Linked DNA regions of Macaca fascicularis. The protein of the gene in region 1 interacts with the protein of each later gene in a biochemical or structural test. Links are inferred from orthologs where the notes say so. Each region holds a gene or a part of one and is shown on either strand. Other genes may lie near its edges.

The links.
Region 2: of the proteins of FBXL17 (region 1) and SUFU, one has a biochemical effect on the other in vitro, tested with the Homo sapiens proteins (2 studies listed by BioGRID, with this or other methods). The link is inferred for Macaca fascicularis from reciprocal best matches to the Homo sapiens genes FBXL17 and SUFU.

What each region holds. Positions count from the first base shown.
Region 1 is NC_088380.1:114,883,309-114,887,760, forward strand, and holds the start of FBXL17 (F-box/LRR-repeat protein 17), read right to left. Parts: upstream 3,036-4,452; 5' UTR 2,618-3,035; coding exon 1,622-2,617; intron 1-1,621. UniProt on the Homo sapiens protein: Substrate-recognition component of the SCF(FBXL17) E3 ubiquitin ligase complex, a key component of a quality control pathway required to ensure functional dimerization of BTB domain-containing proteins (dimerization quality control, DQC).
Region 2 is NC_088383.1:111,511,984-111,516,512, forward strand, and holds the start of SUFU (suppressor of fused homolog), read left to right. Parts: upstream 1-1,725; 5' UTR 1,726-1,916; coding exon 1,917-2,098; intron 2,099-4,529. Other genes in the region: ACTR1A (alpha-centractin), read right to left, coding at 355-402. UniProt on the Homo sapiens protein: Negative regulator in the hedgehog/smoothened signaling pathway. Down-regulates GLI1-mediated transactivation of target genes. Down-regulates GLI2-mediated transactivation of target genes. Part of a corepressor complex that acts on DNA-bound GLI1.

The DNA.
Region 1 (4,452 bases):
AAGTTTATTTTATTCTATTAGAGTTTCTCTTTATTATGAGCCCATGTCCCCCTTTTTTTTTCCTTGGCATTAAAATGTTTTTTACCTCATGAAATAATGGTTTAAGTAAAAAAGTAGAAGGTACCTGGCTTTGTTTTGGTTCATTTTGAAACAGTCTTATTTGCCAAATAAGAAGAGAGCAATCAAATTTCTATACCAAATATTTGTTGATATTTTATTTATCCATATCATCCAGTGATTTAAAGGACTCAAGAAAGTTCCCTTTGTCCTAAAATGCACCTCTGCACACAAAGAGTAGGGAATTACTCTTCCAACAAGTAGACCTCCATAAGAATTAGATCATTACATTTTGACACAAGGAAATGTAAGTTTTCCCACCTTCTTGCTGTATCATTCACAAGAACATTAATATCACAGTAAAAAAGACCCAAACACACAGTACTGTAAATATGCAAAAAGTCTAGTCACAGAAACTATATTGGTGACAATAACAATTGTAATTACTGACAGTTACTTCAGTAACGGTAAAAGTAGCCAAATTCTTATCAAGATTATTTATGGATAGTCTCTAGTATCATCCACAATGAAAATGGTTTATATTTATTAAGCTCCACATAGGGTAGGGTGGGAGAAGACAGAAAAAGAGGAAAAAAGTTAATAACTTAAGAAAAACTCTATTATGTAACTAAAGTTTGTCACTAGCATTGACAAAACTGCAAAATATCCTTGATAGTTGAAAATGACACAAAGTTCATATAGGACACCTACCTCTACTCACCCATTTCCCAACAAAAAATACATCTGCGCTTACCTCTGGTAATCTGCATGCTTTTATGCAAAGGCTAAACTGTAGAAGGGCATTACAACATAGCATAAACAAAGGGGTTTTAAAGTCAGGTGGTCTTAAATTCCCTCATTCAAGACCTAGATCTGCCCTTTACTTTCTGTATGTGACCTTGCACAAGTCATTCGACCACTTCAAGCCCCACTAGACTGTCAGCTCCACAGGAGCAAAGGCCACTTCTGCCTGACTCACTACTGTAAACAGTGGCCCACAGCACGGAGAAGTCAGTTTCTTCTGGTATAAAATAAAGATATTAACAGTATTTATCTCGCAGCTTTAACTGAAGGAATAAATGGGATATTATATATATAAAGTTCTGGTGCAGCGCCTGATTATGGTAAATGCTCAATAATAACTGTTTGACATTAACTACCAATCATCAAACATAAAAGTAATGTTTGAAGACCTTCAAATACTAATACGCAAAGCCTTTACCCACTAAGTATAAACTTCCCGATTAATTTTTTTTTTCTTTTCCACAGAATACCTGCGAAGTTTCTAAACGACTGGGTTGGGATTCTAATAATAGCTGAACCCTGAATGGTGGGTTACAGAGTCAAGCTATTAAAAGACATTCAGTAGACTCCAAGTGCTCCTACTTCAAAAAATAGGTCATACGCAGAGGCCCCACTGGCTTCCCAGTCTCCCCTTCGGACGTCCCTAGACTGTCAGGGAACCCCCCTCCTCCGCGTTTAGGGGGAGGAGAGAGAAAGCCTCAGAGGCGGGGGCCGAGGGTGGGGGAAAGCGAGCATCCCTGCGCCTCTCGCCCAGACCCACCTTGAGCAGGATGGACGGCGGCAGCTGGTTGATGTCTGGGGTTTCGGGGGACGGCTCCCTGTGACAGTCGCAGGGGTTTTCGGGGGGCTCCCGACAGTCCGCGTCGCCACATTCATGCTGCTGCTGGGCGGACGAGGGGGCGGTGCCCCCGGCTCGGACAGCGTCCCCGCCAGCTTCGGTAGGGGCACCTTCGGAGGTGGGAGAAGAGGGCGGGGGGCAGAGCGGCTGCGGGTGCTGCTCCGGGCCCTGGCAGCAGCCGGCGTCGGGGGGTCGGGGCGGCGAAGCGCCTCCCCCCGCAGGCCCTCCCCCACCACCACCGCCGCCGCTGCCGCAGCCCCCGCCGCCGCAGCGGGGCTGCTTGCAGGGGGTGCAGGCTGGGACCCCGGCCCCCTTCCGCTTGCACACCATTTCGGGGGGCGTAGGGGGCTCGGCCGGCGGCGGTGTCGGTCCCCGGAAGAGCTGCACGGCGGCGGGCGGCCCCAGGAAGCGCACCGGCCCCAAGCTGGCCAGGAAGAGACTTCGGCCCTGCTGCTCCCAGGCGGCGGCCGCAGCCAGCCCCAACTCTTTGCAGCAGGAGGCGGGCGACGAAGCCGAGGCGGCAGCGGCTGCGGCGGCGGCGGCCGAGGATAGCAGGAAGCGGCGGGCGGCAGCGGCGCAGTCCTCGGCGGCCAGGGCCGCGTAGCGCCGCGCCAGGTGCTGGGAGGAGGAGGCGGCAGCGTAGGCCCCGTCCCGCGGCGGCGGCGGCGGCGAGAGCGGCGGCTCCTCCTCTGGGCCGGCGGGGGCGGGCGCGCCGGGACTGTGCACGATGAAGCAGAGCATGCAGGGCCCGCGGAAGAAGCAGTCCCGGCTCCGGGGTGCCGCCGGTTGAGGGGGCACCTTGGCTGGGGTCCGGCGGGGCAGCCTGAGGAGAGGGCGCCGGCGGCGGCACCAACTGCAACAGCGAGGCCTCTTCTGGCTCGGGCGGTTACGCGGCTCCTTCGAGAGAAGGTGGCCCATATAGAAGACCCCGAGGAGGGGGACCGGGACGGGAGGGAGGGAGACCCAGAGAGGCGGGCTCCTGGCAGCGGGGCAGGCCGCTCGCTGGCTCGGCCCCCGGCCCACGGCGGGGTCGCCCTCCCTGCGCACACACACGCACACACGGGCACACACGCGACGGTGGGGGGTGGGCGTCAGCTGCGGGCCGCCGGAGTGCCCGACGGGGGCTACATGCTCTGCCCAGGGAAGCCGGGAGAACGATGGGCGCGAGCTTTGGGGACGCGAGGGAGTGAGCGAGCGAGCGAGCCTGCCGGCTAGGTGACCAGTCCGGGCCCGGCCAGCCGGCTCAGTCAGTCAGCGCGGCAGCGGGGGCAAGGCCGGGTCCCGCTCGGACCATTTTAACTGCGGATCTGCCGCCGGCGCGCGCGCCCGCGACTCTGCTCGGAGCCGCAGGAACGCGCGGCCCGTTCCGGCAGGGGGCGGAGCCAGTTGCGGTGGCGCGCTCGTGGCGGGGACGCTAGCGCCCGCTGCTCACCCGGAACGGCAGCCACACGGCACTACGGGAAGAAGCCGGCCGGCTAGGGTATGGAGCTCTGGGCTCGCGGGGTGCGGCGCGCGCCCCTCCCTCCAGCCGCCTAAGGTTTTTCCGAAGCTGCTGGGCGTGCGCCGCTTTTCTAAGGCGGGAGGAGACACTTCCGAGCCAGCTGTGTGACATCCGTTTACACAGCCGCGCTGACGTCTCGAGGTGTAAGTTCAAGAGCTGCCATTGGCCGGTAGCCGCTCGGCTCTTCCCCTCATCTTCCACCCCTATCACCACCCCTGACTCGGAAACCCAGGCCACTTCGAAGCCGCGAGGCGGGTTCCGCCGGAAGGGCCGGCGTGGGTGCTGACCGCGCCTTGGGCGGAGTGGCAGATGCGGCCGGTGGGTGATACGCACCCAAGTCATGTGAGGGGTTGATTGGTTGTGCGGCATCACTGTTTACTCACTTGTGTTTTATTAATTGTTGCGTACTACTGCCTTTCCACAACTTTATTTCAGAGTGAAAGCATATATCAAATTACCTGTGCACGGTGGAAAGATAACAGCTTCCCCACCCAATGAGCCATCCAACACCCAGGCTACAAGCTGTAGATCACTTTATTGTCTGCACCCTCGGAATGCTGTCTAGCCATCTGTTATATATTTTAAACATGACGGTGCAGTGCCGGCTGTATGACAAACCTTGGTGAGTCGGATGAGAAAGAGGAAATAGCTGTGCAGGCAGTCCGTTAGAAGGTTTGACTATATCGAGGCTAGAGAGCTAGGGCAGCTACTAGAGCGGCACCTGGTCTGGAGAAGTTAGCTTTCACAAGCGAAGAATTGGAGGAAGCAAATACCGATGGGAATGAGCGACTCCAATGAGAGAAATAGGAGAAGGTGGAATGGAGAGTGCTTTAGGAAGGACACTTTCTTCATTGTGATTACAGAGAATGACGAAAGGTAGATAAAGGATGAATATAGATAGGTGGATGTTTCTAGCCGGAAGGTGAGAGTTCCTTTCTGATGGTTTCTATTTTCCTTCAGATAGAGCTTGGTTACCTGCTGAAGGGTGGAAGTGAAGTGGCAGCTGTTTAAAAAAAAAATCTGCTAAGGATAACTTGAGAGAGCTGACTGAGGGAGCAGTATTGCAATATTCAAGGCCCAGTGACTTAGAGACCTCTGTTGGAACCTACATTGCTATTACCACTATAGTGGCCAGCGCCACCCAGTCTGCACTCAAACATGCTATCCAACATTTGTTTATTGTGGCCTCTTTGTCAGAAATGACTAATCTTAAGTCTGTCACATTCAGGGATCCTTCTTTCAGAGCCTAATG
Region 2 (4,529 bases), on another chromosome or scaffold:
GATCACTGGCCAAGATGGACAGCCAGAGCAGCCAATAGGGCGATCGGAAAAGGGTGAGAGGGCGGGCAACAGGCTCTCACACAGCGGTTAAGGCCCCTAGAGCCAAGGGCCCAAGGACCGGCTTGGACTATCTCTTTCCTCTATCCACTCCAGAGTTCTCCATCCCACTTTTGCTGGCTGGCCGCCTTGCCTTCGGCCTATATGATAAGGGGAGGAAGGAGGCGGCGGTGGCTGAACGCGCCTGACAGGCCGGGCCAGTGACAAAGAGCCGGCGGCTCAGGCTGAACCCCGGGAAGCGATCCTTTCTAGGAGGAGAGCCCAAGTCCCCTTACAAATGGGAAAGACGCAACTCACGTTGTCGATCACGACAGGCTGGTTGGCGATCACATCGTAGGACTCCATGGCAGAGGAATCTCTCCTTCTGGGGAAGGAACTGCCTAGCCGGGTCCGCCGCTAGCGCCACTGACACGCATGCGCAGTCTAGCCGCCGGCTCAGGGAGGCGAGGGAGCTGCCCTACCTCACCTCTGAAAAACTACAATCCCCAGCATGCTTTGCGCCTGGGTTAGCGCTCTAGGTTGCTTTGTTGCCCGCCTAATTTAAGACTGGGAGTCGTATTTCCGATGCACAGTACCCTGGGATTTGTGGTCTCCCTAGATTAAACAGCCAGAGACACAGGTTGATGGTCATGTTGCATGCCTGGATCTGTAGTCCCTTTGAAGGAGTTCGCAGTGCATACTGAGGTGTATAGTCTTCTTGAGTACTTGTCTGTAGTTCGGTTTGGATTGGTCGTAATTCATGGATGTTTGGATTTTGCAGATCAGTCCTGCCACTCCCCACAACGTTCCCTTAGACAATATAAGGTTCTCATGCTTTTATTTGGGTCTATAAGACTAATAAACATCTCCTAGCACCTCACACTCTAACGAAAAGGAAATGTTAACACACGTACGCGACAGGACATATTCCTACAACATAGGAAAACAATTTAAATTGCATAAAATTAGCTTTAAGGAAAAAACCTGTACATTGTTGTTGCTTTTTGGGTTTTCTTTTTTTCTGCATAGGTGTAAACTTTATAACAGGCTAACATTGATCCGAGGATTGGCAATTGGAACTACTGTTATAGGTAATCTTTTGGTCATTAAAACATCATCTAAGGGTTTCAGGAACTGCTGTAGTATCTCTTTAATTTTCATGAGGAGCTAGAATTGGCATTGACGGTTGAGAAAGTGGAGGTGAAGAGAGGTTATGTGTCACTGCTTTCAAATGAGCCCAGTGCATTTTTTTCTTTGGATTATGTTCTTCCCCAGCCCCCTTCAAATTGCAGGAACCTTTTTGTCAATAGCCCTAGAAAATATTAGATTTATTATAATCTATTAATATTAACGCCCCATGGATTAATGAATCAATCCATTGTCAGATTTATGTTTAAATCCTAGTTAGCAGCGCGTCAGCAAAACAGTAACAAATCCTTTGTTGGCGCACTTCTTGGTGCTTTCGTGGGACCCTAGCACCTCAGAGGGTGCTCAGCATCTCTAAACTTGGGTTCCTCCTAACACTAGGGGGAGACCAAGAGCCTTGGGACACTCCCAACACGGGGGGGGGAGGGGCCTATTGTCAAGTCACGCCGTCTCTGCCTGTGACTAGCACAGACACTAGCCAATGGGTGCTTGGATAGGGCGCGCCGGCGCCCCGCCTTCCTGAGCGCCCCGCCGCCCCGAGGCACCCTCTGGCAGACTCCGCGGCGGCGACAGCCTGGGCGGACAGTGCGCCGTGCGCAGGCGCGGAGCTGGACCTCGCTGCAGCCCCCATCGCCTCGGGGAGTCTCACCCACCGAGTCCGCCCGCTGGCCCGTCAGTGCTCTCCCCCTCGTTTGCCCTCTCCAGTTCTCCCAGGGCCTGCCCTACGCGCCCCGATGGCGGAGCTGCGGCCTAGCGGCGCCCCCGGCCCCACCGCACCCCCGGCCCCTGGCCCGACTGCCCCTCCAGCCTTCGCTTCGCTCTTTCCCCCGGGACTGCACGCCATCTACGGAGAGTGCCGCCGCCTTTACCCTGACCAGCCGAACCCGCTCCAGGTTACCGCTATCGTCAAGTACTGGTATGCTCTGGGCCGCGGGGAGACGGACAGGCGCGGGCTGGGAAGGGTTAAAGCGCCGAGGGCGAAGTAATTTGTGGGAGGCTGGGAGGAGGGGTAGAGAACGGTTAAAGCACTTGGAAGGAGGGCTTCCTGCTGCGAGGGAAGGAGTTAAGGCTCAAGTTGGGAATGGGGACAAAGGGGTTAACGGAGCCTGTGGGTAGTGAAGGGTTAACCGGGTTTAGGAGAATAGAGTGAGGACTAGGGGTGTGTGTAGGAGCAGAGAGGGGAACGGCATGAGCGAGGGAACTGTAAACGTGGTGAAAAGAGGGGGCGCCTGTAGGGGGTCATTAGTGGGCGAGGGGAAGCCAAGCGGGGGCGGCAGAAGTGGGATGGGAGAGGCGAGGCGGAGCCTGGGGAGCATTTGAGAGGGTTTTGGAGGAGCGAGGCCGGAGAAGCTCAGAGGGCAAGAGACTGCATAGGATGGCGGGCGGGGGGCGGTTCGGGGGGCCCGGGGCTCTCCTGTTGGAGGTAGGAGGGCCAAAGATGAGGGCCTGGTGCTTGTGGAGAGATGAGGAGGAGGTCTCCTTTTGATACCTTCCCGATGAACTCAGACGTCGTATCAGGGTAAAGCTTTTGCTTTTGAAGTTTGACGGAGCAGCTCTTCCTGATAAACTTCTTGCTTACTCTGCACTGTTCTCTTTCTCCGTGCAGAGCTTCCTCCTAGCTCTGCAGCGGCTTTGCTTTAGGACATTAGGTAGAGAGAACCATGGTTTGGTTTAGGATTGAAAGGGACCACAGCTTCCCACCTCCATTTGGAAATAAATGATGGAGACCCTGGGACTCCAGCAGGGAGGAATTGTGAAGTGGGACATAAAGAGGAGCTTCTTGACCATGGCCTGCAGTTTCTCCGGGGAGCTGAGAGTAACCCTCAAGTAGCTTTAGGGTAGGAATGGTCTTTTCTAATTTCCCGTTCCTGTTTGCAACCTGTTTCTTCCTGCAGCATTTGGGCAAAACAGATGTTCTGGGGACTCTGGAAAAGAACCTGTCCTCATGGTCTTGCTGGACCAAAAACAGATACTGGTTGAAACTGTCCAGGACTACATTCATGCAGGCATTGTGTTAGATGATCTTCAGTGAGTCCTGAAAGATGTTCGGCAGCTGCTTGGGGTGTAGCCAAAGGGTAGACCTGAAGGGGCAAGTGGACATCTTTGCTGGTTACCTCTCCTTTTAGAACTGAGTCTCCCTCTTGGTGAAAACCTGTTACTTCCCCTGGACATGGATTTCAGTAGGCTGTGCAGGGCTGAGGCCAGCTGCCTGTGTCAACGGGAGGATGCCAAGAGGCCAACAGCGTGGAGGGCCTGGGGACCAGCCACCTGCTGTCTAGGAAGGGTTGTAGGGAACAGCCTCCTCTGTTGGAGTAGCCAGGAGGAGGTAGAACTGGTGTCACAGTCCTCTCTGGCTGGCAAACAGTTCTCTGGTTGAGAGGAGTTGTTGAAGAGTGCTTCTGAGTGGAAAGCAGCTCTTGCTAGCTTAATGACCCATTCTCATTGTGCCTTTATATTTAACTATTTGTTGTGATGAACTTGTTGTCATGTGTCATGAGAAAGGTAGGCCTGGGCTGGGCACGGTGGCTCATGCCTATATTCCCACCACTTTGGGAGGCCTTGAGGATCCTTTGAGGCCAGGAGTTCGAGAGCAGTTTAGGCAACATAGCCAGACCTTGTCTCTGTTATTTGAAAAACAAAAAAGGAAGTGGGCCTGGCTCTGCCATGCTGTTTGTTCAGGCCTCATTTGAGTGTGAGGAGAAATCCCTACATAGATTCAGGCAACTATTTTTATGTCACACAAGTAGCCATAAAGGATAGAATTGCATGTTAAAGGTATGATAGTGTTTGCAAAGGACTAAGGGCAATTTTTTTTTCCCTTCCTGCTGCAAGCTTGTTAACAGCCGTATCTTCAGAGATGGGCCAACATGTGATAATGAAGAAAAGGGATTGTACAGCACTTTGTGAAAGCCTTGCCTAGATGCAGAAAAATATAAAGAGAAACAGCACAGTGACTGGTACTTTCTCTTTTTTGTTTGAGACAGAGTTTTGTTCTGTCACCCAGGCTGGAATGCAGTAGCATGATCTTGGCTCACTGCAACCTCTGTCTCCTGGTTTCAAGCGATTCTCATGCCTCAGCCTCCCAAGTAGCTGGTATTACAGGCGCACACCACCATGCCCAGCTAATTTTTGTATTTTTAGTACAGGCAGGGTTTCACCATATTGGCCAGGCTGGTCTCAAACTCCTGACCTTGAGTGATCCACCCACCTCGGCCTCCCAAAGTGCTGGGATTACAGGCATGAGTCAGTGCGCCCAGCCGTCAATGACTGGTACTTTCTAAGATGCGGAGGGGTTTGCAAAAATAAGATCCTGAAATTCATTTATATTCCTCACATTTGGGATCCCA